Stegostoma tigrinum: one gene and its partners. The protein of the gene in region 1 purifies or fractionates together with the protein of each later gene. This does not show direct contact. Links are inferred from orthologs where the notes say so. Each region holds a gene or a part of one and is shown in the gene's direction. Other genes may lie near its edges.

Evidence for each region.
Region 2: the proteins of axin1 (region 1) and segment polarity protein dishevelled homolog DVL-1-like purify together in Homo sapiens (affinity purification with western blotting; 3 studies listed by BioGRID). This does not show direct contact. The link is inferred for Stegostoma tigrinum from reciprocal best matches to the Homo sapiens genes AXIN1 and DVL1.
Region 3: the proteins of axin1 (region 1) and ppp2r5a purify together in Homo sapiens (affinity purification with western blotting; 3 studies listed by BioGRID and IntAct, with this or other methods). This does not show direct contact. The link is inferred for Stegostoma tigrinum from reciprocal best matches to the Homo sapiens genes AXIN1 and PPP2R5A.
Region 4: the proteins of axin1 (region 1) and amer1 purify together in Homo sapiens (affinity purification with mass spectrometry; 4 studies listed by BioGRID and IntAct, with this or other methods). This does not show direct contact. The link is inferred for Stegostoma tigrinum from reciprocal best matches to the Homo sapiens genes AXIN1 and AMER1.

Annotation. Positions count from the first base shown.
Region 1 is NC_081376.1:42,034,866-42,042,384, forward strand, and holds the start of axin1 (axin-1), read left to right. Parts: upstream 1-4,496; 5' UTR 4,497-4,657; intron 4,658-7,519. UniProt on the Homo sapiens protein: Component of the beta-catenin destruction complex required for regulating CTNNB1 levels through phosphorylation and ubiquitination, and modulating Wnt-signaling.
Region 2 is NC_081381.1:27,493,823-27,501,612, reverse strand, and holds the start of segment polarity protein dishevelled homolog DVL-1-like, read left to right. Parts: upstream 1-4,772; 5' UTR 4,773-4,869; coding exon 4,870-5,039; intron 5,040-7,790. UniProt on the Homo sapiens protein: Participates in Wnt signaling by binding to the cytoplasmic C-terminus of frizzled family members and transducing the Wnt signal to down-stream effectors. Plays a role both in canonical and non-canonical Wnt signaling.
Region 3 is NC_081362.1:54,688,780-54,695,713, forward strand, and holds the start of ppp2r5a (serine/threonine-protein phosphatase 2A 56 kDa regulatory subunit alpha isoform), read left to right. Parts: upstream 1-3,923; 5' UTR 3,924-4,581; coding exon 4,582-4,741; exon of another isoform or gene 4,742-5,184; intron 5,185-6,934. UniProt on the Homo sapiens protein: The B regulatory subunit might modulate substrate selectivity and catalytic activity, and might also direct the localization of the catalytic enzyme to a particular subcellular compartment.
Region 4 is NC_081368.1:33,312,819-33,319,826, reverse strand, and holds the start of amer1 (APC membrane recruitment protein 1), read left to right. Parts: upstream 1-3,996; 5' UTR 3,997-4,091; intron 4,092-7,008. UniProt on the Homo sapiens protein: Regulator of the canonical Wnt signaling pathway.

The DNA of each region.
Region 1 (7,519 bases):
ACTTCTCTGTCCATTTAGCAGGAGAATCCCAACAGCTCACGACATTTAACACACTATGTGGATGGTACTCTTTCTGCCAATTACCATTTGGTGTATTAGTTCGCTAAGACCTGGTCCAGCAGCATGTGGATAGAAAGGATTATTAAAATGTACGACATTGTGTTTGCAATGCTAATGACATCATAATCGTAGGCAAGACAAAGGCAGAGCAGGACCACAGCTTTATCTACTAAAGGCAGTAACATGACAAACATGTCACATATTTAACAACACAAAATTCCAGATCAATATCAGCTGATAAACATCTTTGGCTGCATTTACTGCACCATGGAGTCCATCTTGATCTAGACAATGTCAAGGATTTTAAATAAATATTGACCCTACAGGATAAAGAGGACCTGCAATGTTACCCTGAATATTTTGAACTTCCTGATGCAGTTTGTTTCCAACATCTCAGACAATGTGCCTGTGCTGAAAGATTAGGTCAGGAAGGACATTCCCTATGAATGTTAAAATGACCACAAATACATCTTTGATTTTCTTAAGATAGTTCTGTCACTAAAATCTTGCCTCTGTAGTAGTATGACCCCAAAAAATACATGATTTTTGAAGTGGATGCTTTGCAAAAACGTCTAAGCACCTGTTGCCTGCCCAAGCCAACGATTCCAATTTGAGTGTGAGAAATTAGCTCTGCTATTCTACATAATGCAATTTCATACCTAGTTATTCGGCAGGAAGTTCACCTTTGAAACAGATCATGAGCCACTAGAAATGATCTGCCACGAACCATTAATGCATGCACTGCTGTGGTCACAGTTTCTAGATGTCAATGTGCAAGGGAATCTCTTCAAAGTGAAAAAGAAGCCGGGTACCAGGATGATTACATCTGATGGGCTCAGCAGGTTATCAAACACACACAAAGACCAAGATGTTCCTCTTGATCTACAGGATGAGTTTTATTTTCAGTTTATTCAGCATCATGGACTAGACAGAATCTGACAATTGACCACAGCTCACTGGTAAACCATTTCAAAACATGCACAAAGTGGGGAGTGACCCACATCACATCACCACCCCATTATCCATGCTCAAGTGGCCTAGCAAAGTGTTAGTATATACTACCAAATCAATGCTGATAAATTGTTAACATTCAAATCAAAATTTTCACATTGTGCTGATGCGTTTTCATATTAACACTGATAGAGATTGCCATCCCCAGCACAATTTATGCTTGAAAGAAAAATATGAACAACTTTGCCCAACAACCAATTTTCTAACCATTCCAAGATGTGAGACAAAGACAGAGGAGAATGGAAAAGATACACCACGAGTACACAGGTAGAGAACTACCAAAGGTGCACACCGGGCGGAAGATGTGAGATAGAAATACGAAGACCTGCTAGCAATGGCTTGTAAAATGTGCCACCAGCCCAAATCACATGAAGTCATCACTGATCATGGTGCTACGCTGCGACAGAACATAAGCCAGCTCCATACAACATACCAGTCAGGCACAAAAGGAATAAGGAAAAACACTCCAATTGGTCATTGTCTGGTGATGTTGAGTGATGGCAACTGGCAGCAAGGTAATCAAGATGTCAAACAAGTTGAACAGATAGCAATTTGCACCTCTCCAGACAGGGTAACAATCACTCGATCAGGAAGAGGTGTCAAACCTCCAAAGTTACATTGAAGTTTAAAATATTAATCTTGCAAGTTTTTCTTAACCTGTTTGCATAATTATCAAATTGACAATATAGATCTATGAATATCTGTTTCGGAGTTATGCTGACTTACTGATCATCAGACAAAACACAATAGCCACCTCCCCTATAACATTACCCCTGCCACTACTGATAAATCCATTTTAGAAAAGGTTGACTTTCAACTCCCCAAACTCTCCTACGCCCAAGGAGAATGGGGTATGTGGGAGACATTAAAATTAAAGCCACATTCTATTCTCCAGTTACCTCAGATTTCTGGCACTAGGAATCAGTCTCCAGCTCCTTTTATTCCATTAAATCCTTTCTAATTTTGCCAAGGCTTCTTTGTTGAAATCTGGATTCTGAACAGCATGAAACCACATCCTAATATCCCTGCATTGGCCACGTGGTCTCCTTCAGTGCTGTAACCATTCTATGATATGATTATTCTGTGATTTTGTCTTGAATGCTGTCAGCCTTCCACTAACTTTTTACTAGGCAATGGGGAAAATTCACAAGAATTGGAGAGCTCCTGTATGTAAACCCTGCGATATTTTAAAACAGGTATCTGTTCCCTGGTGAACAAGTGGTGGGTAGAAATGTGATCCTTGATTTCAATTCTGCAGGCACATACAATATTACGCTTTGAATTTAATAATTCACTTCATATGGGGTCTGAATCCAAAATAGTACAGAATAACTTGCCACTATTAGTAAGTTTACTTGACTAGCTAGTTTGAATCTTAGAATTAAAGCATTAATATACACATTAAATGCGCATGAATGAACCTTTGTTTTATAACACTCACTTCCAGCTCAGCAATGTCCAGGTTTCTTTTGGCCTTGTTTTAATTTTAAGCGGAAAATTTTATGCTTCATTGAAGTTGATGACACAATGGTTTAATCTTGCCACAACGCCTTTTGATTCAAACAGTAAAAGAGGAAATTGTTTTTGAGGAAATTATTCCCAAGTAGATTTCTCTCCAATGGAAAAGTCTCGACACTGTTTGTTGTTCAAAGATGATGGTCTGTGTTGGCCAAGGTTTATCACAGATCTGACCCATAATGCTTGCAGATACTCAGAGAAAATACGACAAAATTAATTTGAAAGAATTTAATGTCCTTCTGATAGAGTGGAACAAGTGAAGGAAGCATCGGTCCCAAGATCATTGTGGTTGGTACCAGAGGGGTGGATTGAGCCAAAACTGGTCCATTTTCTCTTCAGGAATCTTTGTAAATGCTCAGGATGGAAGAACATACTTACAGGAAATAAATGATGCAAATTTAGCAAGAAACAGGAAAGGGGTTGTAGGGAGATCAGGGCTTCTGTTGGGGAGGTGGTCAAATAATAGTTAACGCACCTTTATATAGTGGCGGCTCCAACTGTGCGGTGTTTTTTATTCACTGTCAGATTTTGGGAATCATTGGTATTTATTGTCCGTCCCTAACTGGCGATGAGAATGTGATGATGAGCCATTGCTTAAAGCCCTGTGGTCTGTGAGGTGTAGGTACATCCTTTGTGACTTAATTCCTGCAGCAGTTATGATACAATCGAGTGGCTTTTACACTGTCTTAGAGAGATGTTAAGAATTTCTGCCTTCCTGGAGTAGGCCAGAACGGGAAAGGATCAGTGACTTCCTTCCTTGAAGGGTACTAATGAACTAGATGGGTTTTCATGACAGTCTGGTAGTTCCATGACCATCATTACTGAGATCAACTTTTTATCCCAGATTTATTGTACATTTTTTTTGGCCAAGTCTGAGTTGCATCAAGTTTTTTTTTCGTGGTTTTTCAGCCATGAGTTTACTTTAACTGGTTTTTTAACCCTTTAATGGGTTTTCATCCTAGCTTACCAAACCTGCCTCATTAATTGACCGCCCAACCCCTGAGGCATCGCTTTCTAATTTCTGCCCATCTTACCATGCACCATTCCCAGGAAACTCACCACCCAGTGGAGGCTAGTACCTTTTGCTTCCTTGCCATCTGTAAAAGGCAGTTTTGACATTCCAAAGCAGCCCTGCCCAGTGACAGACAGAGTCGGAACATGGCAGGGAAGGGGAAGTTGGCGCCTTGATTGTCCAATAAGGACCTCAAAGTCCTGGTGAATAGGATGGTGAAGCAAGAAGTGCCCTCTTCCCAGAGGATCGCTAAAGGAAGGAGCACCATCAAACACTGCCAACTTGGTCTGAGGTCACCACCCATGCCAGTGCCCGCTCCAGGGTGAGGAGGAATGGCCAGGAATGTAGAAAGAAGGTCAATGACCTTCTTTGCATCACGCCTCCACACTCTGCCACCTCACACACGATCTATCAGTCCCACTGCAGGCTCCTTTTGCCAAGGTTCATACCCCACCACACTCGCCGCTGCCTGCAACACATTCCTTTACCAGCTTTGCCCACTCACCGTCCACACTGCCTCCTCATTCTTTCAGAGCACACCTTTTGCCTGCACTATTAGCTGGGATACCCATTGTTACCTCACTTATTTGCCCCACCACTTCCCACCTTTCTCCTTGCATTACACGGGAAAGCTGCCCACAACGGGGCAGGTAGAGCCTATTCCACAGGCGGGGGGACAGTGCCTGATATCATGTCCCAATCTGTATGGGAGGAAAATCCTGACCCTCACAGGAGACAACCAGGACTGCCTCCTGCAGGGATGCAACACAGTCATGTCCCAACAAATGAAGTAGGAATGACATGGCATGGCACTGTCTCAATGGCACACTGTCACTCTCAGTCATTGCACACCTCTTCCAACCATTGGTCTTTTCTTCCTTTTGTCTTACAGGCTCTGCAAACCTCCCAATGGCTGGTAGTGGAAGAATCACCCTCCTAAATCTCTGGGGATGGGAGTATGGAGGCCTCAGAGGAAGCATCCTGAAGACCTCAGCATCTCAGATACCAATCCCCTGGCGGGAACTATAGGCACACAGTGTGTGGCTTCACTGTCTGGTAAGCACCTAGCCACAACAGCTCTGCATCTGGCACTCAGCAGTGGGCCTGAGACTTGGCACTTGCTCAGCTTTCAGCAGGAGACGTCCCTGTGGTGTCAGTAAACAGGAACGTGATCCTGGGCGAGCAGGGGAGGGGGCTGTTGTTTGTGTGGGGTTTTACCCCAGTCCAGGTTCCCGTCTTCACAAGGGGATAGACCGGTGGCCAAGGAGCACCCAGATGGTGGTGGACCTGTATTCTGGCCTTGAGGCAGATAACACTCAGGGCCCTGAAGGGGCTCTCTCTCTCCAGACAGCCTGTCCCTCCAACCCTTGGAGGTATAAGCCGAGGAGGGTCACCTTGCCTCTGGGAAGAATTCTATCGCGTGCCTGGCCATCCGGGCTGAAGCATTGTGAAGTTTGCTGCACCAAAATTCTAGGGACAATGGGCTCCACTGCTGAGTCAGGGAGCGCACTGAGTTACAGTGAGACAGAGAGCAGGAAGAAAATATCCTGAGGGCACTTTGGCTGCCCCAGTGAAGACAGCTTTTCTGTAAATAGTACATTGTCCATGAAACTTTCAGATATTATTAACATCCTTCCATGTGTTTGCGAATCCATCTGTGTAATGCACCTTCACACCAGCAATGACTCATGGCCACAGATGAGGCTCCTGGAGAGAGGTCTGTACTGAGAGCCCAATGCATCTGGAAGTGAGGGAAGCCCTCTGTGTGCAAAGGTGTACAGCTCAATGAGTTGCCCACCAGTGGCTGTGTGAGGGTGGTGTAATGTACAGAGAGGCTCAATGCTGTCAGCTAGCCTGGCTGGAAGCAACTTGTCTGCTTTACCTTTCGAGGCCAATGTATACCCCTTTATAAACCATTTGATCACTGATTGCCTCTGACCCCTCCCTTGCAGGTCAAATCATTTATAGATGACATGAAGATTGCTGGAGTTTCTGATAGTGCCAACGATTGTAAAAGGATACAACAGGGTATAGATAGATTGGCAAGTTGGGCACAAAAAAGGCAGATGGAGTTTAATCCAAACAAATGCGAGTTGATGCATTTTGGAGGATCAAATTTAGGTGTGAATTATACTGTAAATGGCAGAACACCTAGGAACGTTAACATACAGATGGATCTGGGCATGTAAGTCCACAGTTCCCAAAAAAGATGCCCATAAGTGGCCAAATTGATTAAGAAGTCATATGGCATGCTTGCCTTCATTGGCCTGTGCATGGAATAGAAGAATTCGCAAGAAAGACGGCAGCTGAGAGGAGATTTGATAGAAGCCTACAAAATAATGAGAGGTAAAGATAGGGTGGAGGCTTTTTTCCAGGGTTGAAGTTGCAATTACAAGGGGGCACAGGTTCAAGATGAGAAGGGGAAAGTTTAAGGGAGATGCGTGAGTGAAGTTTTTCATGCAGAGTGTGGTCGGAGCCTGGAATGCACTGCCAGAGGAGGTAGTAGAAGCGGGCACATTGGCAACATTTAAGCAGCATCTGGATGGTTACATGAACAGGGAACAGTGGGATATGGACCAAATAAGGGCAAAAGTTTTTTAAAATTTAGTTAGGGCATGATAACCGGCACATGCTTGGAGGGCCGAAGAGCCTGTTCCTGTGCCATATTTCTCCTTTGCTCTTTCATTCCATAGCCACAAGCTTCAGGCCTACTGTGTCATCCCAAACATCCACAGTTCCTTCCCAATAGAGAATCCTACTAGCTCCACACTTTCCCAAAGCCCAAACCAACCCACCTAAATGCAGCTACAACTGCCTAACCTACCCACCCAGCCCCTGGCATATAGTGACCATGCCAGGTGTGATTCCCTTAAAGCCAGAGTGCTCCTGTCCATGGACAAACCCAACCACCCTGTCCCTCCGCATAACCCCCTTCCCAGCAATACTATACTGTCTCCTCCACCCCTTGCAAATTCATCTGCCACCACCCAGCACTTCCCCCCACTTTCACTATTGTTAGTAGACCCTTGACAAGAGTTTGCAGCCCTTAGTCCCAATGAATCTGTTGCCGAGGCTCGTTGCCATGGCTACACCCACACTTGTCCCGCCTCCCCCTTACATTCTATGAATGGAATACAAATAACTGGCCACAAGCCTCCCCCCTCAACCCACATTATCCAACAGCCACACAGAAGATGTGCCCAGATCCCTGACTGGGGCCTGTAAATCTCCCCGACCGTTTTAGATCTACTGACTGAACCTGGCATTACTGACTGTGTCCACTCCCCGAGAACGGCCCCCAGCCCCTGATCAGACTCCTGGCCATGGTCAACCTCCTGGACTTGAATGGGAGGCTGCGTTTGACTCAGTGTACTGGGCCAGCCTAACAAATGCCTCTTGTGAGCACTGCTCCTCTCAGAGTTGGATTCATGTCTGTCTGCTCGTTGCACACTCAATCAGTTTGCCAGCTAAGCTGCAGGCACATGGTGCAGCTATGAGATTGATGTGGCACACTGCCACACAGCAGGATGTGGCTCCCCCTGGGCTGAGGACTGCATTAACAGCAAGGCAACCTGCTTGTTGGGTGACTGCATGAATTGGCATGGCAAGGCAAGGCATGGATGCTACTTGCATGGCAGTAGGCAGTAAGTGATCACTAAGAGAGACAGCAAGCATTCCTACAATGCAGCCTGGTCCAGACTGCCAGTAAGGGGCCTAGCCCTGTGCTCAAAATGTCCCTCCTGCACCTTTCAGGGCCAGTATCTGGTGCATCTTGCAATGCAAGTCTGTGCTTCCAAAGAGCACTATCAGTGTATCAGAGGGGTGCCTGGATGGTTGTGGGTGGTTGCCTGGTTCTAGATGGCAAAGTCCACTGAGCAGGAATGTGTTCAGCTGGTGTCCATGAATTGTGTTCTGAGA
Region 2 (7,790 bases), on another chromosome or scaffold:
GTCTGAACTTCGGCAAAAACAATCCCAACTTAGTCAATCTTTCCTCATATGTCAGTCCCACCATCCCCAGAATCAGCCTGGTAGGCCTTCATTGCAACCCGAAGAGCATCCTTTCTCAGAAAAGGAGACCAAAACTGCACACAATATTCTAGGTGTGGCCTCACCAAGTGAATCAAATTGCGTGAAGACTGACATCTGCCATGTTGGGAATTACTGAAGGAGGCCAAGATGGATCACCTATTCAGCTTTTCTGGCTGAAGACTGGTACAATTGCTTCAGCATCATCTTTTGCCCTGATGCGCGAGGCTCTATCATTATTGAAGATGGAGATACTTGTGCAGCCTCCTCCTTGAGCCAATTTTTTAAATTGTCCACCACCATTCATGACCGAGTGTGGTAGGATTACAGAGCTTAGCTCAGTTGTAGAATCGCTTAGCTCTGTCTGTCATTTGCTGCTTGTGTTGTTTGGCACATAAGTAGTTCTGTTTTATAGCTTCACCAGGTTAACACCTCATTTGAAGGCATACCCCCCTGCATTCTTAATTGCAGTAGTTCAGGCGCTAACACTGTATGTATCTTTCAAGATAGTTTGGAGACAAAGTGAGTTGCAGCCAGGACAATGAGAAGGAGTAGGTGCTAGCTTGCCAGAAGGTGTGGTTTATAGTAGATTTTGCTTCAAAGGGCTTAAATGAGGACTTCAGTTGGGTAGCCTACAGAATACTGAAGGGTATACACACTATGCTTGATGCATTAGAAAGCTTACCTTCAATATCAAAGAGTCCAGCACCACCATCGCACAGAGTATTGTGCAGGCTTGAAGCTTCTCCTTTCCAACATAGACATGTGACCAATTCTGTTCACACAACTGTGGGTCCATATTATGCAGTATTGTTTAGCCGATGACATAGCTTCCCTTGTAGCACAAGGAGCACCTGCCCAATGTGTGTGTGTTGCACTAGAAGGTCACATGGCTGTCGTGCAAGCTCAAATTGTTGCTGCCATGACTGGGAATTGTGGTGTAACAAATGATTTGGTGAGCATCTCAGCAGTCCGGTGATCTATTTTCTGACAGGCTATTACTATTGCTGAGGCACTACTGGTCATGAACAATGCCACGAATGAACATCCCTTGTCATCTAGGTGCCACCCAAGCAGCCAATGTAGTAAACATGTTGAGACACCCAAGACTACTTCAGAGTGTTACACAAGTGGAAGCCATCCCATAAATTAACATGCCCCTACCTTTGTTATCATCCATCTTAGAACAATTACAGGTTTTTGACTACGGGAGAAATTTTCTAGTCGGTATCCCCAATTATGATGTCAGATGCTCATAGATAAATCTACTTTCACTATCGAAATCTACTTTCCACTGTGCAGCTGCCTCGACTGTGTAACACCTTAATGTGTACATTGCTAACAGATATGGTGCCTATGTTCCACAGTTAAATCTTATTACAATGGGACAAAAGGGCTAATTACCCTTTTAATGACCTTAATTGGCAACCCACTGCGACAGGACAAGTAGCCACTGATGCTGGAAGTCTGTCTTTGGAAAAATTCACAGTGGTGGGAAGCTACCAGCAAGCCAAACCAATGTGTCATGATTTAGATTTCCACAACTCCATCTCTGCTTCAAGGAGCTGGCCAGAGGCCAATCAGGAGGAACATACACAGCCATGACAAGTGGGCAGGAATGAAAACACAACTGGGTTTCTCTCACTCCATCCTCCTTGCTAACATATCTAACTCTTCAGACATAAGAGATGACAATGTGTAGAGCTGGATGAACACAGCAGGCCAAATGCATTTCTGAAGAAGAGTCTAGGCTCGAAACATCAGCCTTCCTGCTCCTTATGATGCTGCTGGCCTGCTGTGTTCATCCAGCTCTACGCCTCGTTATCTCAGATTCTCCAGCATCTGCAGTTCCTGCTATGTCTTCAGACAGTTGGATTACAAATGGCTGATTAAATCAATTCCCACAGAAAAAGGTATTCCAATAATATTCACAGCATTTTGTATGATTTAATATAATTGTAAAATGGTGACTTCCTTACACAGTGATGACATGCACGTGGCAAAATGACCGAGATGTGTGTTGGACTGCCGTCCTGGCACCTTCATTCTGAAATATGCTCCTGGTCCTGCATTCAAGCCCAACTCCTTGTATCCAAGAAGATTTCGCCCGGGAGGAGTAAACAAGTCGTGCAAGTGTGGCTGGGGTGGCCATGGGAGGCATAGAGAGGTGATGTTAACACGGAAGGGTGGTCTGATGAGGGGGTGTGGACGCAAGAAGGTTGAGTGGGAAGTGGCTCTGCAGATTGGGTGTTGCATATGAGCACAGGACAATGGAGTGGGGAGACATGATACTGGGAGATGTGAGATATGAGATAACAAGGTGTACAGCTGGGTGTACACAGCAGGCCAGGCAGCAGGAAAGCTGATGTTTCTTTCAGGCCTAGACCCTTCTTCAGAAATGGGGGGAGGGGAAGGAAGGGAGTTCTGAAATAAATAGGGAGGGGGGAGGTGGATAGAAGATAGAAGGAGAAGATAGGTGGAGAAGAGACAGACGGGGATGGAGCCAGTAAAGGTGAGTGTAGGTGGGGAGGTAGGGAGAGGATAGGTCAGTCCGGGGTGGACGGACAGGTCAAGGGGTCGGGATGAGGTTAGTAGATAGGAGATGAGGGTGGGGCTTGAGGTGGGAGGAAGGGATGGGTGGGAGGAAGGACAGGTTAGGGAGGCGGGCATGAGCTGGGCTGGTTTTGGGATGCATTGGGGGGAGGGGAGATTTTGAAGCTTGTGAAGTCTACATTGATACCATTGGGCTGCAGGGTTCCCAGGCGAAATATGAGATGCTGTTCCTGCAACCTTCGGGTGGCATCATTGTGGCAATGCAGGAGGCCCATGATGGACATGTCGTCTGAGGAATGGGAACGGGAGTTAAAATGGTTCGCGACCAGGAGGTGCAGTTGTTTAGTGCAAGCCAAACGTAGATGTTCAGCAAAGTGTTCCCCAAGTCTCTGCTTGGGTTCCCCAATGTAGAGGTGGCCACAACGGGAACAGCAGATACAATATACCACATTAACACATGTGCTGGTGAACTTGGGCATGGCGGGGGGTTGGGGTCTCTCAGGGAGGGGTGCTCTCGAGGTGGGTGTTGTCGGGAGGGGGCTCTTTGGGACGGCGTTATGAGTAGGGTACTCTCAGGGAGGGTACTATCAGGTTGGGAGGGTCTCAGGGAGGGGATGTTGCGGGTAGGGGGCTCTCGGTGGGAGGGTATTGCAGTGAGGGGGCTCTTGGGGAGGGAGGTGCTGTAGGGAGGGGCGGCTCGTAGGGTGGGGTGTGTTCTGGGGAGGGGGCTCTCAGGGAGGGGATATTGCTGGAAGCGGGCTCTTGAGAAGTGAGTGTTGCGCAGAGGGGCCTCTTAGGGAGGGGGGGTTGTTGCGAAGAGGGGGAGTCTCTTGGGAAGAGGGAGTGTTGCACGGAGGGGGCTCTCAGGGAGGGTGCTCCCAGGTATGGGCTCTGAGGGGTAGGGTCGTTGTGGATTGTGGGGTCTTGGGGTGGGGCGGTATGGCCGGGAGGCTTGGGCAGGAGTATTTTAAGAAGATGGGGGCTCGCAGGAAGGTGGGTGTTGTGGGAAGGGTCGCTCTCAGGAAGGGAGTGTCGCGGGGAGGTGGGTTGTTGCCGGGAGAGGGGTGTCTCAGTGAGTGGAGGGGCTGTTGCAGGGAGAGGGCTATCGGGTTGAGAGGAGGGTGTTACAGGGAAGGGGCTGGTGCGTGGGGAGGGGGCTGTTGTTGTGAAAGTGCTCTTGGTTTGGGGGGGTCTCTTGGGGAGAGGTGGTCTTGTGGGGAGCAGCGTCTCTCGTGGGGGAGGAGGCTGGCAGGAAGGGGTTTAACTCGGGTGGGAAGAGGTTGATCTCGAGGGGGTGGGGGCTCTCAGAGAGGCGGGTGTCTCCCGGAGGAGGGGGCAGTTGGGGGGATGATTGGTTGTGGGGAGGGGGCTTTCGAGGAGCGAGGTCACTTGGGGGTGGTACTGTCAGGGGGGGTGTCTCGGGAAGGAGGCTATTGGGGAGGGGGGTCCTCGGGGAGGGTGTACTCTCGGGGAGGGGGAGGCACTGTCAGGGAGGGGCGTCTGTAGGGTGGAAGGGGTCTCTTGGGGAGGGAGGGTGTCTATTGGTGTGGGGAGTAGGCTGGCAGGGAGGGGGTTCTCTCAGGGGGAGTAGCTGTCGGTGAGGGGGTTCTCTCAGGAGAGGGAGGGGGTGTCTGTCAGGGAAATGGCTATTGGGGAGGGGGTTGTCTTGGGGTGGCAGAGGGGATCTCAGGGAGGGGGATCTCAGGGAGGGGGTTTCTCTCGGGGGGTGGTCTTGGGAAGGGGGTTTCTCTCGGGGAGGGGGTTTTCTCAGGGGGTCCCTCGGCGAGGGGGGATCTCTCGGGGAAGCGGGTCTCTCATTGAGGTGGTGTTTTCTCAGGGGTCTCTCGGGGAGGGGGGTCTTCTCAGGGATGGGGGTCCCTCGGGAACGGGGGGTCTCGGGGAGGAGTGTCTCTCAGGGAGGGGGGTTCTCAGGGAGGTGTGTTTTCTCGGGGATGGGGGTTCTCTCGGGGAGGGAGGGTTTTCACGGAGAGGGGGTCTCTCGGGGAGGGAGGGTTTTCTCGGGGAGGGGGGTTCTCTCGGGGAGGAAGGGTTTTCACGGAGACGGGGGCGGTGGTTGTCGGCGGGCGCCGAGTGGGCCTGTCCACTAGGCCGCGCTGTTGGGTTTTGACATTTCCCGGTTTTCCCACATCCATGAGCCGGTGAGACGGGAGACGGAAGGCGGGTGGGAGGGAAGCGGGTTCGCCGCTGGGTTTCTGACCCTCCCCCGCCCCCCCCCCGATGGCGGAGACGAAGATAATTTACCACATGGATGAGGAGGAGACGCCGTACCTGGTGAAGGTGCCGGTTCCACCGGACAGGGTCACTCTCGGTCATTTCAAGCAGGTTCTCAACAACAGGCCGAGCTGCAACTTCAAATTCTTCTTCAAGTCCATGGACCTGGACTTCGGGTGAGTGACCGGTCGGGTCATGGTCAGTCTCAGGCGGGTTGGGTGTCCGGTGGGACCCGGGGGGGTCTCCGGCCGTTGGGTGAAACGGGGCAGATGTGTGTCAGTGCACGAAGGTGGAGTACCCACTGGGCTGTTGTGAGGGAGGTTCCCGCTGCTTGGTATTTGCCCCCCTCGTGTGTTTCGGGCGTAATCTGTTTCTTACTTAACACCCCCATTCCCCCCGGACCCGTCCTCCCTTCCGCCTCCTTTTTCTAAATAACGCCACTTGCAAGTATTTTAAAACCCCATTCATTCGATTTGGGTCTGGGTCTCATGAACCATATTGCTGCTGCATTTGTTTACATAACATTGGCTCTGCTAAAATTATGTTACCACGGAGGAGGCCGTTTGGCCCTCTGCTTTAAGCACTGATATTTAGCTGAGGCAGCCCAGAACTTCTAACTCAGTGTTCCCCCCTTGTCCTTCAGTGCCTTCCTTCAAATATCCATTCAGTTCTGCTACAGAAAATGCAATGGTTAATCTCTTAAACACTTCCTCTGTCAAAGCATTCCACACTCTCAACAGCGCAAAGAAATTTCTCTAGACTTCCTTCCTTAGCCTAATACTTTTAAGTTAATAGCCCCTCAGCACTAATTTAGGTTTTTCAGCATCAGAGACCTTCTTCCATCTTAATTTTAATCAAAGCCTTTATATTTAAAAGTCACAATTAAATATGCTCATGGTCTTTCCAAGAACACAATGTAGCACAAGAACAGGCCCTTCAGCCCACCAAGCCTATGCCGATTCACAATCCTTAGCTGGAATTATTGCCTACACATGGTTTCTATCCCTGTTTGCTTCCCATTCACGTATCCATCAAGATACACATTAAACATTGTTAATGGATAGTAGGAACTGCCGATGCTGGAGAATCTGACGTGACAAGGTGTACAGCTAGATGAACACAGCAGGCCTAGCAGCATCAGAGGAGCGGGAAAGCTGATGTTTCAGGTCCGGAACCCTCATTGTTAACATGCCTGCTTCCACCACTTCCAATGGCAGTGCATTCCAGGCACTTACCACTCTGTGTGAAAAGGTTTCTTCCCACTTTTCCCCTGGAACCTGTGCCCTCATGTAGTTGACCTTTCCACCCTGGGAAAATTCCTCTGACTGTCCACCCTATTTATGCCCCTCATAATTTTGTGGCGCTCATCTCTCAATCTCCGTCTTTCCAGTGAAAACAATTTGAGTTTATCCGATCTTTCGGCGTAACTAAAATCCTCCTGATCCGGCAACATTCTTGGTAAACGCTCTCTGCACCCTCTCCAAAGCATCTGTCTTTTTGGTAGTGTGGTGACCAGAACTACATGCGATATTCCTTTTGTGGCCTAACTAAAGTTTTGTACAGCTGTAATTATAAACTTCTCAGCTTGTGTATTCAATGCCTTGGCTGATAAAGGCAAGATTGCTGTCTGTCTTTTTCCCCACATTATCTACCTGTGTTGCTACTTCAGGGATCCGTAGATCTGTATGCCCAGATCCCTCTGTTAGCACTGTTATGGGTTCTGCTGCTTATTGTATAATTCACACCTGAATTGATTTTCCAAAATGCATTACCTCACATTTGTCCAGATTACCATCTGCTGTTTCTCTGCCCAAATCTGCAATCTATCTACATCTCACTGTATCCCTTGACAATCCTCATTATCTGCAATTCCACCAATTTTGATAACACCTGCAAGCTTACTTATCAAACTATTTTTCCTCCAAATTATTTATATATATTATAAACAACTAAGGTGCTGGCACTGATCCTCTAGAACATCACTAGTTACTGGCCACCATTCCAAAAAGTACCCTTCCACTGCTATTCTCTGACTTCTATCTCCTAAGCCAGTTTTGTATTATTCTAAGATAACAAAGTGTGGGGCTGGATGAACACAGCAGGCCAAGCAGCATCTTAGGAGCACAAAAGCTGACGTTCCGGGCCTAGACCCTTAATCAGAAAAAGGGTCGAGGCCCGAAACGACAGCTTTTGTGCTCCTAAGATGCTGCTTGGCCTGCTGTGTTCATCCAGCCCCACACTTTGTTATCTTGGATTCTCCAGCATCTGCAGTTCCCATTATCTCTTTTTGTATTTGTATTATTCTAGTCAGCTTACACCAGATCTCATGAGGCTTTACCTTTTGTACCAACCTGCCATGAAGTGGCTTACCATGTAGACAATATCTATTGCCATTCTGTCATCAATCATTAAGTGGAAACAATGTTAGTATCTGTCGTCTCACTTCATAATTATAATCTTCCATTTCTGACATTATTCTGTTTAAATTAATGACCTGCATTTATAAAGCATATATCCTGACTTCAGGGTCCTGAAGAGCTCTAAAATCAATTAAGTACTTTGCAGTCAATGTAGTATTAAGAGGAGGCAATGGCCTTAGTGGTATTATCACTGGACTGTTAAACCAGAGAGCCAGGTAATGTTCTGAGGACCTCGGTTCGAATCCTGCCGCGGCAGATGGTGGAATTTGAATTCAATAAATATCTGGAATTAAGAATCTAATGGTGACCACAAAACCACTGTCAATTCATCTGGAAAAGCCCATCTGATTCACTAACGTCCTTTAGGGAAGGAAACTGCCATCTTTACCCGTGTCTGAAGTGGCATGTAGTCCAGAACAAAGCAATGTGGTTGACTCTTAACGCTCCCTGGGCAATACATGCTGACTTAGCCAACAATACCCTCATTCCCATGAATTGACTAAAATT
Region 3 (6,934 bases), on another chromosome or scaffold:
CATTGGACCATTAGATTTAGGAGTCCTAGCTTTGCAGAAACATATTTACTCTGAATCCTCTGATCAATCAAACACTGATTTAGCAAGTAGCTTGGTCAGAAATAAAAACAGAAATTGCTGGAAAAGCTCCACAGGTCTGGCAGCATCTGTGGAGAGAAATCAGAGTTAACGTTTTGGGTCCAGTGGCCCTTCCTGCTTGGTCAGTGTAGATTTCAAGTCATCCCTTGAGGAAGTAAAGCAAGCGGAGTTGGGGAGATATAGGACTGAGAAACCAGAGGTAGAAAATCCAAGCAAATTAATATGAAATTATGAATATAGAGGCTGGTGCTGTTGACAGTGAGGCTCTTCAGAGTTGGGTGCAGACTTGATGGGCTCTTCCAGGATTCTATCAATAGAAAGTTTTTAATTTTATGACCGTCATAGCATTTTCTTTTACAACTAAACATTTTATACACTCTCTAAAACAGTTTTTCTTTTGTTTGCAATTTAGTATTGGCAAAATTTACCTCTGGAAGTTAAATGATTACATTTTTGGAAAGACCAATGAAATATGGTGCTCATGTAACAGAAATTGCATTTTGGGTGCAGCACAGGTCAAGCAAGCTAATTGGACATGTGTAAACAATGTCAATAAACAAGGGGAAACAGCCTCTCAACATGTGCCCAGTCAAGTCCCTTAAGAATACAATATATCTCAATGAAATCACCTCTCATTTTTCTAAACTGCAGTAAATACATTCCAAACCAGTTTAGCCTTCGCTCATAAGGCAGATGATTCATACTGGGAATCATTTTGAACCTTCTCTGAACTACCCCCAATGAAATATCTTTCCCAAAATATGGCGACAAAAACTGCTCACAGTAATCCACATGTGGTCTTACAAGCACCTTGTACAGTTGCAGCCAGACATCCCTACTTTTATACTCCAACGCCTTTGAAATAAAGGCCAAACTCCATTAGCCTTAGTGATTTCCTGCTGCAACTGTGTGCTAACTTCCTGTGTTTCATGCACAAGTATTCCCAAATCTCTTTAGGTTCCATTAGTTCCTTTTTGAAAAGATTGGATTCCTAATCAAGGCATTTGATGTGCTTAAATTTGTATTGTGGTGTGAAGATCAACGGTAGAAACCCAAACATGCTCTCTTCTTCACAGATGCTACTAATTTATGTTTTCAGTATTTTGGCTTAATTTCACATTTTTCCTTCATTTCATAAGAATTGTAAATACTAAAGAAACTTTAAAGAAATCTAAAATAAAAAACAGACCTAGGTTTTTAATACCAGCCAGGGTGTGCTGTCTGGCCGGGTGGGGATTTGAACATATGATGTCAGCTCGCTTGTGACTAGGAAGATTGCCACCGTATTGTCTACAGGAATAGTGCCAGACGACTGGAGGATAGCACATGTGGTTCCCCTGTTCAAGAAGGGGAGTAGAGACAACCCTGGTAATTACAGACCAGTGAGCCTTACCTCAGTTGTTGGTAAAGTGTTGGAAAAAGTTATAAGGGATAGGATTTATAAGCATCTAGTAAAGAATAAATTGATTAGGGATAGTCAGCACGGTTTTGTGAAGGGAAGGTCGTGCCTCACGAACCTTATTGAGTTCTTTGATAAGGTGACCAAACAGGTAAATGAGAGTAAACTGGTTGATGTGGTGTATATGGATTTCTGCAAGGCATTCGATAAAGGTTCCCCACAATAGGCTATTGTACAAAATGCGGAGGAATGGAATTGTGGGAGATATAGCAGTTTGGATCGGAAATTGGCTTGCTGAAAGAAGACAGAGGGTGGTCGTTGATGGGAAATGTTCATCCTGGAGACCCGTTACTAGTGGTGTACTGCAAGGGTCGGTGTTGGGTCCACTGCTGTTTGTCATTTTTATAAATGACCTGGATGAGGGCGTAGAAGGATGGGTTAGTAAATTTGCAGACGACACTAAGGTCGGTGGAGTTGTGGATAGTGATGAAGGATGCTGTAGGTTGCAGAGAGACATAGATAAGCTGCAGAGCTGGGCTGAGAGGTGGCAAATGGAGTTTAATGCAGACAAGTGTGAGGTGATGCACTTTGGTAGGAGTAACTGGAAGGCAAAGTACAGGGCTAATGGTAAGATTCTTAGTAGTGTAGATGAGCAGAGAGATCTCGGTGTCCATGTACACAGATCCTTGAAAGTTGCCACCCAGGGTGACTGGGCTGTTAAGAAGGCATACAGTGTTTTAGCTTTGATTAATAGAGGGATCGAGTTCTGGAACCAAGAGGTTATGGTGAAGCTGTACAAAACTCTGGTGCGGCCGCACTTGGAGTATTGTGTACAGTTCTAGTCACCGCATGATAAGAAGGATGTAGAAGCTCTGGAAAGGGTGCAGAAGAGATTTACTAGCCTGGTATGGAGGGAAGGTCTTACGAGGAAAGGCTGAGGGACTTGAGGCCGTTTTCATTAGAGACAAGGTTGAGAGGTGACTTAATTGAAACATATAAAATAATCAGAGGGTTAGATAGGGTGGATAGGGAGAGCCTTTTTCCTAGGATGGTGACGGCGAGCACGAGGGGGCATAGCTTTAAATTGAGGGGTGAAAGATATAGGACCGATGTCAGAGGTAGTTTCTTTACTCAGAGAGTAGTAAGGGAATGGAACGCTTTGCCTGCAACAGTAGTAGATTTGCCAACTTTAAGTACATTTAAGTCATCATTGGATAAGCATATGGATGTACATGGAATAGTGTAGGTTAGATGGGCTTGAGATCGGTATGACAGGTTGGCACAACATCGAGGGCCGAAGGGCCTGTACTGTGCTGTAATGTTCTATGTTCTAGAATATGGTTCAAATTCTGTGGTCAGGTAACAAATGTGGACAGAAAACACATTTAACACTTGGAGACAACAACTTTTCATCAGATTAATTCTAAAAGATTATTGACCGGAAATATTAATTGTTCTTCTCCACAGATGCTAGCTGAGCAACCTGAGTATTTCTGGAATTTTCTGCTTTTGTATTTTATATGTTATTATCCAGCACAATAGTAACATCAATTAATAATAATTTTCAGATGACTATTATAACTATGAATCTGAACTAGCAGGTCATCAATGCAGACATTCAGTTAATTCTAAATGAACCTGGACTAAATCTATTATTTTTGTTTTGTGGGCTTCCTAAAATAAATCCATTTTTTACTCATAGCAATACTTTATACACTATTACAGCATCTTTAATTATACTTTTAGAATTAAAAATTCAACATTCTAAATATAAAGTTAATTCTCTATCAAAGGTCACCTAAAATTGGCAAACACTTTAAAAGTCACCTTGAATTCTCTATCTATCAAATGTAAATAATAAATAAATATTCCGTGCCTGTGTTCATCAACCATTTTTCAGCTATTTGTTAACTGTTGGAAATTAATTTTCAAAATTCACAAACATCCGTAATATTATCTTTTGAAAAGGTAAAATATATGAATCTGATACAGGACATAGCCAACGAGGAATCACAAATGTGGGATGTCATAAGTAAACAAAATACTGTTGCAGATTTGTGCATTTTTAAAGATTTAACCTTAATCAGTGATAGCAATAAGGATGCTATTCATAAATATAGTGCAAAATACTTTAGCGAATAAAAATTCAAATGACGGAATACTGACAAAACACTATATTTATAAGTTGAAAGGGAAGAAATACGTTTCCTCCCAAAACACAAATACCTTCACATACCCACAACAACACAACCCGATCACACGCGAACAGCCAATCACGTCAGCCTTCCTTATCACCTGCCCTAGAAGCAATATGGCCTCCGTCAACTGAACATTGTAGTTAGCGTTTGGGTCCGCCCCTGAGACACTTTGATTGTTCTGATGACGTCAACGTCACCGTCAATTTATTTTAGGCGAGTCTTTTTCCCTTTATGATTGGTCAGCGGCATGCCAATCAAAAACAACACCCCCGACATTTCCGCTCAACAGTGTTAGTTGAGTCCCAACTCAATTGGTGTGTTTTGGAGAGCGCGAGGGAGGTGGCGACAGTTGGTGGTCCCTTTTTTAAAATAAAACGCGTCCGTGTTTTTAAATTTAAAGCCACGATCAACCTTGAACGATTTTAGCCTATTGGGAAAAAAAGTCATCATCGTCGTCGTCGTCGTTGTTGTTGTTGCGGGAGGCGTCTGTTGGCCCGTCTGTTGATGGACGCACCGAGAACGGCGGCGAGTGAAGGCGACAGCGGCAGGTTGCGGGGTTTGACAACGTATTAGCTCAGGCTCCGAGGAGGAGGGGGGGAACGACTAACAGCCACTCCCCGGGGAGTGGGGAGGCAGGGGAGGTGGCGGCAGCGCTGTTGAGCAGGCCTCGAGGGGGCTAGAGGACAGAGCTCCGGCCCTCGCCGCCAACACTAACTTCATTCACCGTATCATCGACTTCACATTTTAAAAAAAAGTATAATTTCACCCCCACGCTCTTCAATCCCCCATCCTTTTCCCTGACGGTTACTTTAAATCCTGTATTGGATCGAATTCACAAACACGCAGCTCATCGCCCGCTGCCGCTAATTTTTCTGCCGGTGTGATCGCCAGTGTGTTTTCAAGAAGATGTCGGCAGCGGCGGCAGTGGTGACAGCGGCGGAAAAAGTAGATGGTTTCACCAGGAAATCCGTGCGGAAAGCGGCCAGGCAGAAGAGGTCGCAGGGATCGTCGCAGTTCAGGAGTCGGAGCAGCCCGGTCGAGATCCTGCTTCTTCCACCCCTCAGAGGTACCTAGATCCCTGGGTTATCCTTGTTGGTTTAACCATGCAGAAATGTCTTTCCCACCGGCATCCATCAAAATGTCCAGTTCCCGTCACCAGCTCCGTTTACGTATTAAAATATTAGGGATGGAATTTACCCAACGTTCACGCATTGAAATACAAAGGTTCAAAAAAATGTCCCGTGCTCATCAAGATAAAGCTTCAGGTACTCCGGCTCACCACCTACCACGCATCAATAACGCCGAGTTTTGGCGATATCCCTCTTGCTCCTCTTCCGTCTGCCCCCCAACTGACTCGTCAAAATACTGAGCTTTAGAAATCACTTATCTATTCATTTATCTGGGTTCAAAGATTGTCCCTATTCGCCCATCAAAACATCAAGGTATAGAGCCCTTCTGTAGTCACACATCGAAGTATCATGGTGCATCGGTGTTCATCAGAAAAGTGAGGTTAAGAGTCCAGAGATCACCGTGTCACCGATCAAAGTATCCGATTCTGCACAGCAGCGAATTGAGAGACCAACAAAAACATCGGCCATCAAATTTCAGATACCACTTTCGTTCATCCGTGAAAGTATTGAAGTTTAGACTTCGCATATTCACACATGTACATATCGCAGTCTTCAATCTTATTCCTATTCACTGGTGGCAATTTAATCACGTACCTATCAATACAAAACTGTTGCACTTTGTTTGTCTATAAATCTTTTATTATTTAGAAATAATGCCCAATCCCCTACTTGCTCATCAAAATTTATCTTTCGCAAGCATGAAATTCAGATTATTTTGCACTGTCAAACTAATAGCACAAGGGTGAATATGTTAATTCAGCTTTGATAAAATTAAAACAGTTCAAAAATGATTTTGCCATTCACAAATTTGGCCTCTGTGATCAATAAATTTAGCTCCCAATCAATTTGACTGATACCAAGATTCCTAACTTGCTCTGTAAAGTTTTTTTTGCGATTTAATGTCCTGAAGTATTATCCTTCATAACTCTTCACGTGCACTTCAATCAGGTATTCAAATCCTTCACCCATCCAGTCCACAGTAGAATTGAAGTTCAGGAAATGTATTTCTAATTCTTACTGAGGTATTGAAATTCAATGATTTCTCTGATTTCTCTAATTTCTCTGACTTCTGTTTCTGGTCATTTTAAGCTTGCTTTTTATAGTAAAGGTGTTGATTTAGTGTTAGTTCACCTGTGAAGATCCAGTGATTTGAAACATTTGGCTTCTTTGAAATAAATTTAGTCTAGCAGTCTTCAACATCAAATTTGTTAACTTTTATATTCTTAATATTCAAATGTATATCTGAAGAACCAAAATAAAGTACTGGGGGTTTCAGTACATGGTGAGCAATCAAGACACTGTCTCTGATATTCAAATACGCGTATGGTAGAATTGATGAATTGTTTTTAGTTTGTTGCTTCTCGTTCTATTTGGTATGTTGAACCATTTGATGTGTACCAGCTGTTTTGAGTAATTGGAAGCAGCATAGTTTCACTACACTAGTGTAGCAGAATTTTATAAACTCACTATAGTGCTTTATTATTTACTTGATTTTCATTTAGTTTTATAAAATTCATTATCATATTTGACGCTGTTGTCACTGTAGGAGACTGATCTGTACCTATTTTGCTTAAATTGTCAATCTTAAAGTTGGAGATTTACTTGCAAAGCATGTACAGTATGTTCAACTTGGTTTCAATGGGTGGGAGTGGGAAACCATTTTAAGTTTTCAAAAGTGCAATTTAAATCTACAAGTTTGGACAGCCGAAGTGCTATTTCCTCTGTACTTGCATGGTACTAGTAGGATAAAAATATTTGACCTTTGGTTGTCAATTAGAACAGCAATGTGGTTAAAAATTAATTCATATTTCCTTGTTGTAATTTCAAGTAAAGCAGGTTGTATGTTTCAGCATCATATATTCATTAACTTTGTATGGGTGAGCTTTCACTTGTCATTTTTGATTTCCTATGATTGAATGGACCCACAATATTTCCTTTTCTTATGTATTTGCTTTGAAATTGCTGACAGCAACAGTGCCTTGGAAAAGCTTCTTCATACTAATCTGCTTGACTTTTCTATGTTAACTCTCTTGGTTTCTCATCTTTGGTCCTATACCTCCACTAACTTGCCATATTTTAAGAGTTGACTTAACTGCCTCTTTGACCAAACTTTTTGTCATCTGAAATAA
Region 4 (7,008 bases), on another chromosome or scaffold:
CCAGCAGCTGTACATAATGTAAGACACTGGGCTTTCAAGGAAATTAAGGAAATGTGTGGCAAGGTAGAGCTGAGGCATAAGATAAGTCACAATATTATTGAATGGTGGAGCAGGTTTGAAGGGATAAATGGCTCATTCCTGCTCCAATTTCTTAAGTTAATACAAAAGGAAAGATGTGAAGAAATTGAATTATATGAATATAATCAGGTGAAAAAGATTGCTTGATCCTTCTAACCTTGTCCTTCCAAAATGTCAAGTCAAATTTTCCCCTCAGCATCTAGATTTTTATTAAACGAGTCCTACGTTTTGGTGTCAGCTGTCCTTCTTGGAAAGGAAATAATATCTCAAACAACTTCTTTTTACTAGTAAGAGGACTTTGATATTTAAGCCCTGGCACCAAGTTTTAAAAATCTAGTTTTATCTTTACACGAAAAGCACTTTCAAAGTGAATCCCTTCAGCTTACTGACAGTACGTGATTACTAAACTGGAAGGAATGTGAGTTGGTGCATGTCACATCAGGAACACTTGTGGTTAAAACACACAGGGAAACATAAACATATATTCATTCCAGCTAAATCTATCCAAGCAATTTCTCTCTAACTCACATGAGAGCAGTTGGTGGAAGATTCATCAGTGCCCTTCCTTCAATTGCAATCCAACATACATATGCTACCTATCAGCTGCTGCTGATACACCACACCTACGAAAATACTGTTACAAATCTATAGTTGATCGTTCATATACTTTGGATATTACATTTAGTTTTGGGAATTACACTTCTGACACGGGGAATGGGGGCACCTGGTTGGGAAGCTGATGACCAACCTTGGGGAGAATGTAATTCAAGCACATCAAAAATTTTTTTATACTTCAAAGGTTGATGTCATGCTGACTTCAGGGTTTAACAATTCGAAATGCATGATCATAAACAGTAGGCATGCTTATGTAAGTAAAGAACTGGAGATATGGCACCTGCAATTATTCCAATAAAGTATAAATTTATTTCCCTTCCCCCCCCAATGCTGGATACAACATCCTTTCTCAGCCATTTACACTCCCTTTGCCTTTAGTTCTGTGACTCTGGTGGTCTCCAATCTCCCTTGCCCTCTAAAATTCCCATGACATTCTCTTCTTTTAAATGTGCCCCATGGTTCTAGGCTCACCATCTATCTTAAGAATATTGTAAGTTTCAATGAGATCGTCTCTCATTTATCAAAACTCTCGAGAATACCGGCCCAGTTGCCCAGTCTATAGTACAGTTCTGCCATTTCAGGAACAAGTCCAGCCAACCTTTGTTGCACTTGCTCTGTGCAACAGTATCATTCCTGAGTTAAGGAGATGAGAATGGACATAATACTCCAGGTATGATCTAACCAAGCTCCTTTATAATTTAATCATGAAGCAGCTGAAGCAAGTGTGTGATAACAAGGTGTAAAGCTGGATGAACACAGCAGGCCAGGCAGCATCAGAGGAACAGGGAGGCTGACGTTTCGGGTCTGGACCCTTCTTCAGAAAAGTGAGGGGTCTTCGGACTCTTCTCGAAGACGTTTCTGAAGAAGTTTCCAAAGAAGGGTCCAGACCCGAAATGTCAGCTTTCCTGTTCCTCTGACACTGCTTGGCCTGCTGTATTCATCCAGCTCTACACCTTGTTATCTCAGATTGTCCAGAGTTGGCAGTTCCTACTATCTCTGAAGCAAGTGTGTGCTTTTTTTAAACTGCTGTCCTACCACTTTCAATTCATGCACACATACACTCACTGCCTCTGATCCTGCAGCTCTTTTAAATTGTTCCCTTGTTTTACAATGACTTTCCACATTCTTCCTACCAAATGAATCAGTTCATACTTCTCTGCATTAAATTTCATCTGCCCATTCCACCGACCTGCATACATCCCTTTGACATTTTACATGATTCTCCTGGTCGTTGACAATACTTCCAAGATTTGTCCCATCAACAAACTTTGAAATTTTACCCTATATGCCACAGATAGGTCATTTAATTTATCAGGAAGAGCAGTCATACTAATACTAATCCTAGGCAACTCCAGTAAAAATTTTCCTCTAGTCTAAAAAGTAACTATTTACTAATACACCTTTTTTGTCTGAAACTGAGCCAGTTCCATATCTATGTTGCTACTGTTCGTGTTATTCCATGAGCTCTAACCTTGTTCATCAACATCTGAAATTAGAGAAAAAGTAAACTACTCAGCCTCTCGAGCCTGCTCTGCCATTCAATAAGTTCATGGCTGATTTCATTGTGTTTCAAATTCCACAATCCCATATACACTTGATTTGTGTGCTCCCACCTTTACCCTAAAAATATTAAATAACCTCACCTCCATTGCCCTCTGAGGAAGAATTCCAATGTCACTTAATCTTTTGAGAGAGAGAGAAAAATTTCCTCATCTCCATTCTAAAAGAGCGACCACTGATTTTAAATGTAGGCACCTTCATTCTGGACTGGGTAACAAGGGGAAATGTCTAAATAAAAACCAAAAGACCTACAGATGCTGTAAATCAGGACAAAAACAAAAGTTGCTGGAAAAGCTCAGCGGGTCTAGCACCATCCGTGAAGGAAAAAAACAGAGTTAATGTTTCAGGTCCAGTCACCCTTCCGCAGAATGTTTTCCAGCAACTTTGTTTTTGTGATCATTGTTGAAGAGGAAATATCTGTTATTTAGTCCTTTAAACAAACGGGTTGTGGAAGCCAATGTACAACATATCAACAGCATTACCATCATCAAACCTCTCTCTTGCTTCATAATAAAACTCAGATCTGGTGGTTAAACATGATTTTTTTATATCAACTTCTTTAATTAACTTCTTTCTTACCTTAATTAACTCATATTTAACAAAGTGAGCATTAATTGGTTCAAAAATGTTATTTTTAAAAGGTTTTCCTTTACAAAAGGTTAAACTGACTGGCCCATGGTTGCTGCATTTATCTTTGTGCACTGTTTTGTATAAGTGTACAACATTTGCAATTCTTCAACTAAGCTAGGGAAGATTACAGCCTCTGCAATTTCTATTCTCACTTCCCTGTTATATTTCTTAACTGTAATCAATGACTTACCAATCTTTGAACATTTCAAGTATCTACATTTCAGTCTCACTCCCTATTGTTCTTATTTGACCCAGTCTCCCTCCCCATTTCCCCCAATTTGATCCAGTCTCCCTCCCTATTGCTCTTATTTGACCCAGTTTCACTCCCCATTGCTTCCTATTTGACTTAGTCTCATTCCTGCACCTTTTTGGCCCAGTATCACGCCTCTCTATTGCTTCTGTCTGATTCAGTCTAACTCCTCTGCTGCCCCTGTTTCAATCCATAGAGTTCCTACAGTGTGGAAAGAGGCCTGTCAGCCCAACAAGTCTACATGAAACCTCAGCACATCCCACCCAGACTCATTCCCCAAACCCACCTAACCTGCACATCCCTAGACACTATGGGCAGTTTGGCATTGTCAATCCACCTAACCTGCACATCCCAAGACACTTGGGGAAGTTTGGCAGTCATTCCACCTAGCCTGCACATCTTTGGACTGTAGCCTCATTCCTAACTGCTCCTATTTGACCCAATTTCAACTCCCACGATCCCCTATTTGATCCAGTCTCACATCCTAACACTCCCAATTTCACACTTCATTACCCAGTTTTACTGCCTCTTACCCCTATTTGCCCTGGTATTACTACCTATTACCCCTGTATAACGCACTCACTCCCTCGTATCCCTATTTAACACCATTTCACACCTTGTTGCTCCCCATTTAACCCAAATTCACTCTTCATTACCCCTCTATGACCCAATCTCACACCTCATTACCCCAATATGACCGAGTCTCATACCTCATTAACACATGTTTTAGTTGGTCTCACCCAACCATGGGGACTGCCCCCTATTGACCGTCTCTGGAAATGCTACTGGAAATTCCACGGAAGTCCCGCCTCCCGGCTGCCAGGCAAGCGGGCGTGACCGAAAGCTGATTGGCTCCGGTTTGTGTCAGTCACATTGTGGGTGTGGCCAGGGAGCGGAGCGGATCCTGGTCGAGGCCGAAGGACTGGAAGCGGCCCCGGGAATGGGAACTATAGCAACGGTAATGAAAGCAAGGGATGAGTGTGGCGGGGCTCAGTCAGAGTGAACTGCGGCTCTGGGTTGAGTATTGATCCGGCCTTCAGTAGCTGAAGCAGGGTTTAGGCAAGGCCTGAAACCTGGGAATGGCTGTAAGTGACGGATCCTGGCGCTGGGAGTAGGACACACTGGGTGATCCATGCAGACTGGCCTATTCATTACCTTTCACTGTAGTCACCAGTACCTTCAACAAAAAGTTAACAGCAGACCACATTAATGACAGGTTGGCTGTCTGTTGAACCTTCCATGACTTTATCCAAATGAGTGTACTTGGATCAAATAACCAGCAGTTAGATCCTGTCTGCAGGGAGTGTTTTATGCTGACGGTGAGATCTTGTTGGTAGCTCTAGTAACGACATGCCAAATAAACGCAATAGCAACAACATTGTTCTTTGTTGGGAAGGTATCAAGCTACTTAATGTCTGACGGCTAAGGGTAAGATCCTGTAGGTCGCTGATGAATCCCTGGGATTGCTGTATGTTTAGTTTCAATAGCATTGTAATTGTCACTGAATTTTGATCTTAATCTCTCAGCCAGATCACTGCTTTTCTGTTTATAGTGCAATAGTTAATTGTGTTATGAGGTTTATAATATCAACTAAGGGTGAAAAGGTTAGCATATTTGCAAGTTTTAGAGCATTTGATTGTGTTTCAGCTTTTCTTTGAGGCTGGTCAGCCCAAATGTATGCTTGTCACTGGGATGACAGTGCAGTAGAACTATTAGAATATTGTTCTTAGCAAAACAAAAGCTAATCCCTTCATTCATTCTTGCCTAACTATTTGAACTTGTTAAAGAAGTTGCATAAAGATTTGCATGAATGTCAATGTAAAAACAGGTCATGTGGTTGACCATAAGTTACAAGGATGGATTTTCTCTGGTTAGACTAGAATGGTTAAAGAATATCTGCATTGAATTCTGGCCTGTACTGAGCAAGTTGATCACAAGTGGGACAGCCAGTTCAGAGTTGACCTTGACGTTCACTTCTGGGCCGGGGATGGAAAAACGTGTCTGGTATTCTCATCCTTCATTGTCTGACTTGCTGCACTGTCATGTAGCCCCAGCATTACTAAAGTGGGCTGTGCCTCAAGACTTCAGGAGGTACTGAAAACCTCCAAAAGATTCCTTATGCCAGTAGATCCTTTGTCCAACAAGACTTAGTCCAATCAGGGAACAGTGAGAATAAGTTAGCAGAAAAAAGCTCTCAACTGCTGGTTAAACCAGACTATCTCACCTAATTAATCTCTTATCAGGTTGCAGTTGATACTTTCACTATGCGTTATCTTATCTGTTTGGGATCAGAGTCGACCTCCTTTTAAATGTATTAATGTTAGTAATGGTTTAGGCAAAATAAGATTGCACATTATATTGTGGATACAGTAGCAATGGGATTCCTCTCATAGCAACTTCCAAACGACATACCACTCTGTACAAGTAAATAAAAAGGCAATTAAATCATAAGAATATTCAATTTCAAAAGATTTTAAGTCATTTTTTTAAAGGTGGGTATTGCACCTTTTGTGTCTGCATATGGGGTGACTGCTGTCAATGTGACACAAAACCTAATTCTTCACTCAATCTCCTTTACTTTAAGAGAACAACTTCGACTTTCAAATGTAACATTGTATGTAAAACCCCCATCCTTTGCACTATTTTGTTAAATCTCCTTTACACTGTCAAGATTGTTCACATCCTTCTGAAAATGTGGTGACCAGATTTAGATGCAGTACGCAATTTGGGCCAAACCAGACTTTGACTTCTCTGTTTTTATACTCAATACCTATGTTTAGTAAGTCTAAAACAATCCCGTGTGCTTTGCTAACCACTGTCTCGATATGCCCTGCCACCTTCAAAGATCAATGTACCTGTGCCAACAAGTTCCTCTCTTCTTGCATATGCTTTATGACTGGCCAGAGAGTTTCTACTTGCCTCTCCTGCCTGGCAAACACATCATCACCTCACTTTTCTATGCTGAATACCATCTGTCACTTGCCTGGCTATTCCTCTAGCTTATCTGTGTCATTGCAGGTGATTCATGTTATCTCCACTTTGCAAGTCCTCAAAGTTTGGTATTATTGGCAAATTTTCTTCAATGACTTGCATCTCAGAATACATAGTAAATTATGTAGCAAGAAAAACACCTGTCCTGGCATTGATCTTTAGGGAAAACCACTGCCCACCACCTTCCATTCTGATAAATAATTAACCATGACTTGGTACGGAGATTGTAGGAACTGCTGATGCTTTCCTATTAGCTTTCCTGCTCCTCTGAAGCTGCTTGGCCAGCTGTGTTCATCCAACTTCACACCATGTTATCTCATTAACCGTGACTTGCTGTTTTCCTTTCCTTATATTTAAGTTTTATCAAACCTGTCACTAATATTTCTCGTTTTCTCGCCTTGTATGTGTTACTTTGTCAAATATTTTCTTGAAATCTAAAAATACAATATCCCTGCATTCCCTTCATGAACCTTCTGTGTTATTTCATGGAAAAAAAATTTAGTCAAATACAAGATTTACTTTTTATAAATCTGTGTTGACTGCACTTAGTTAATTCAAGGTTGTCCAAGTGCCTTGGTTTAATATCTTGCTCCCTGATTATTGTTTCTAAGACTACTAATGTTAAAACTAGTTGGATGTAGTTGCTTGTGCTAACCTTGCATTTTTTTCCTGAGTAATGTTATCATATTTGCCACAGTTTTATCCTTCTGTATCTCTGTCTTCCAATCATTCCAGGATATTACAATGGGCAAGCCTGTTTGACAGTTTGAAACCCACTTGTTTCAGCAACTTGGGGTGCACCCAATACAGGCCAGGTGACTTATCCACTCTAAGCATAGCCAGCCTTTCCAGTGCTTTGTCCCTGTCAACATTCACCTTATCCG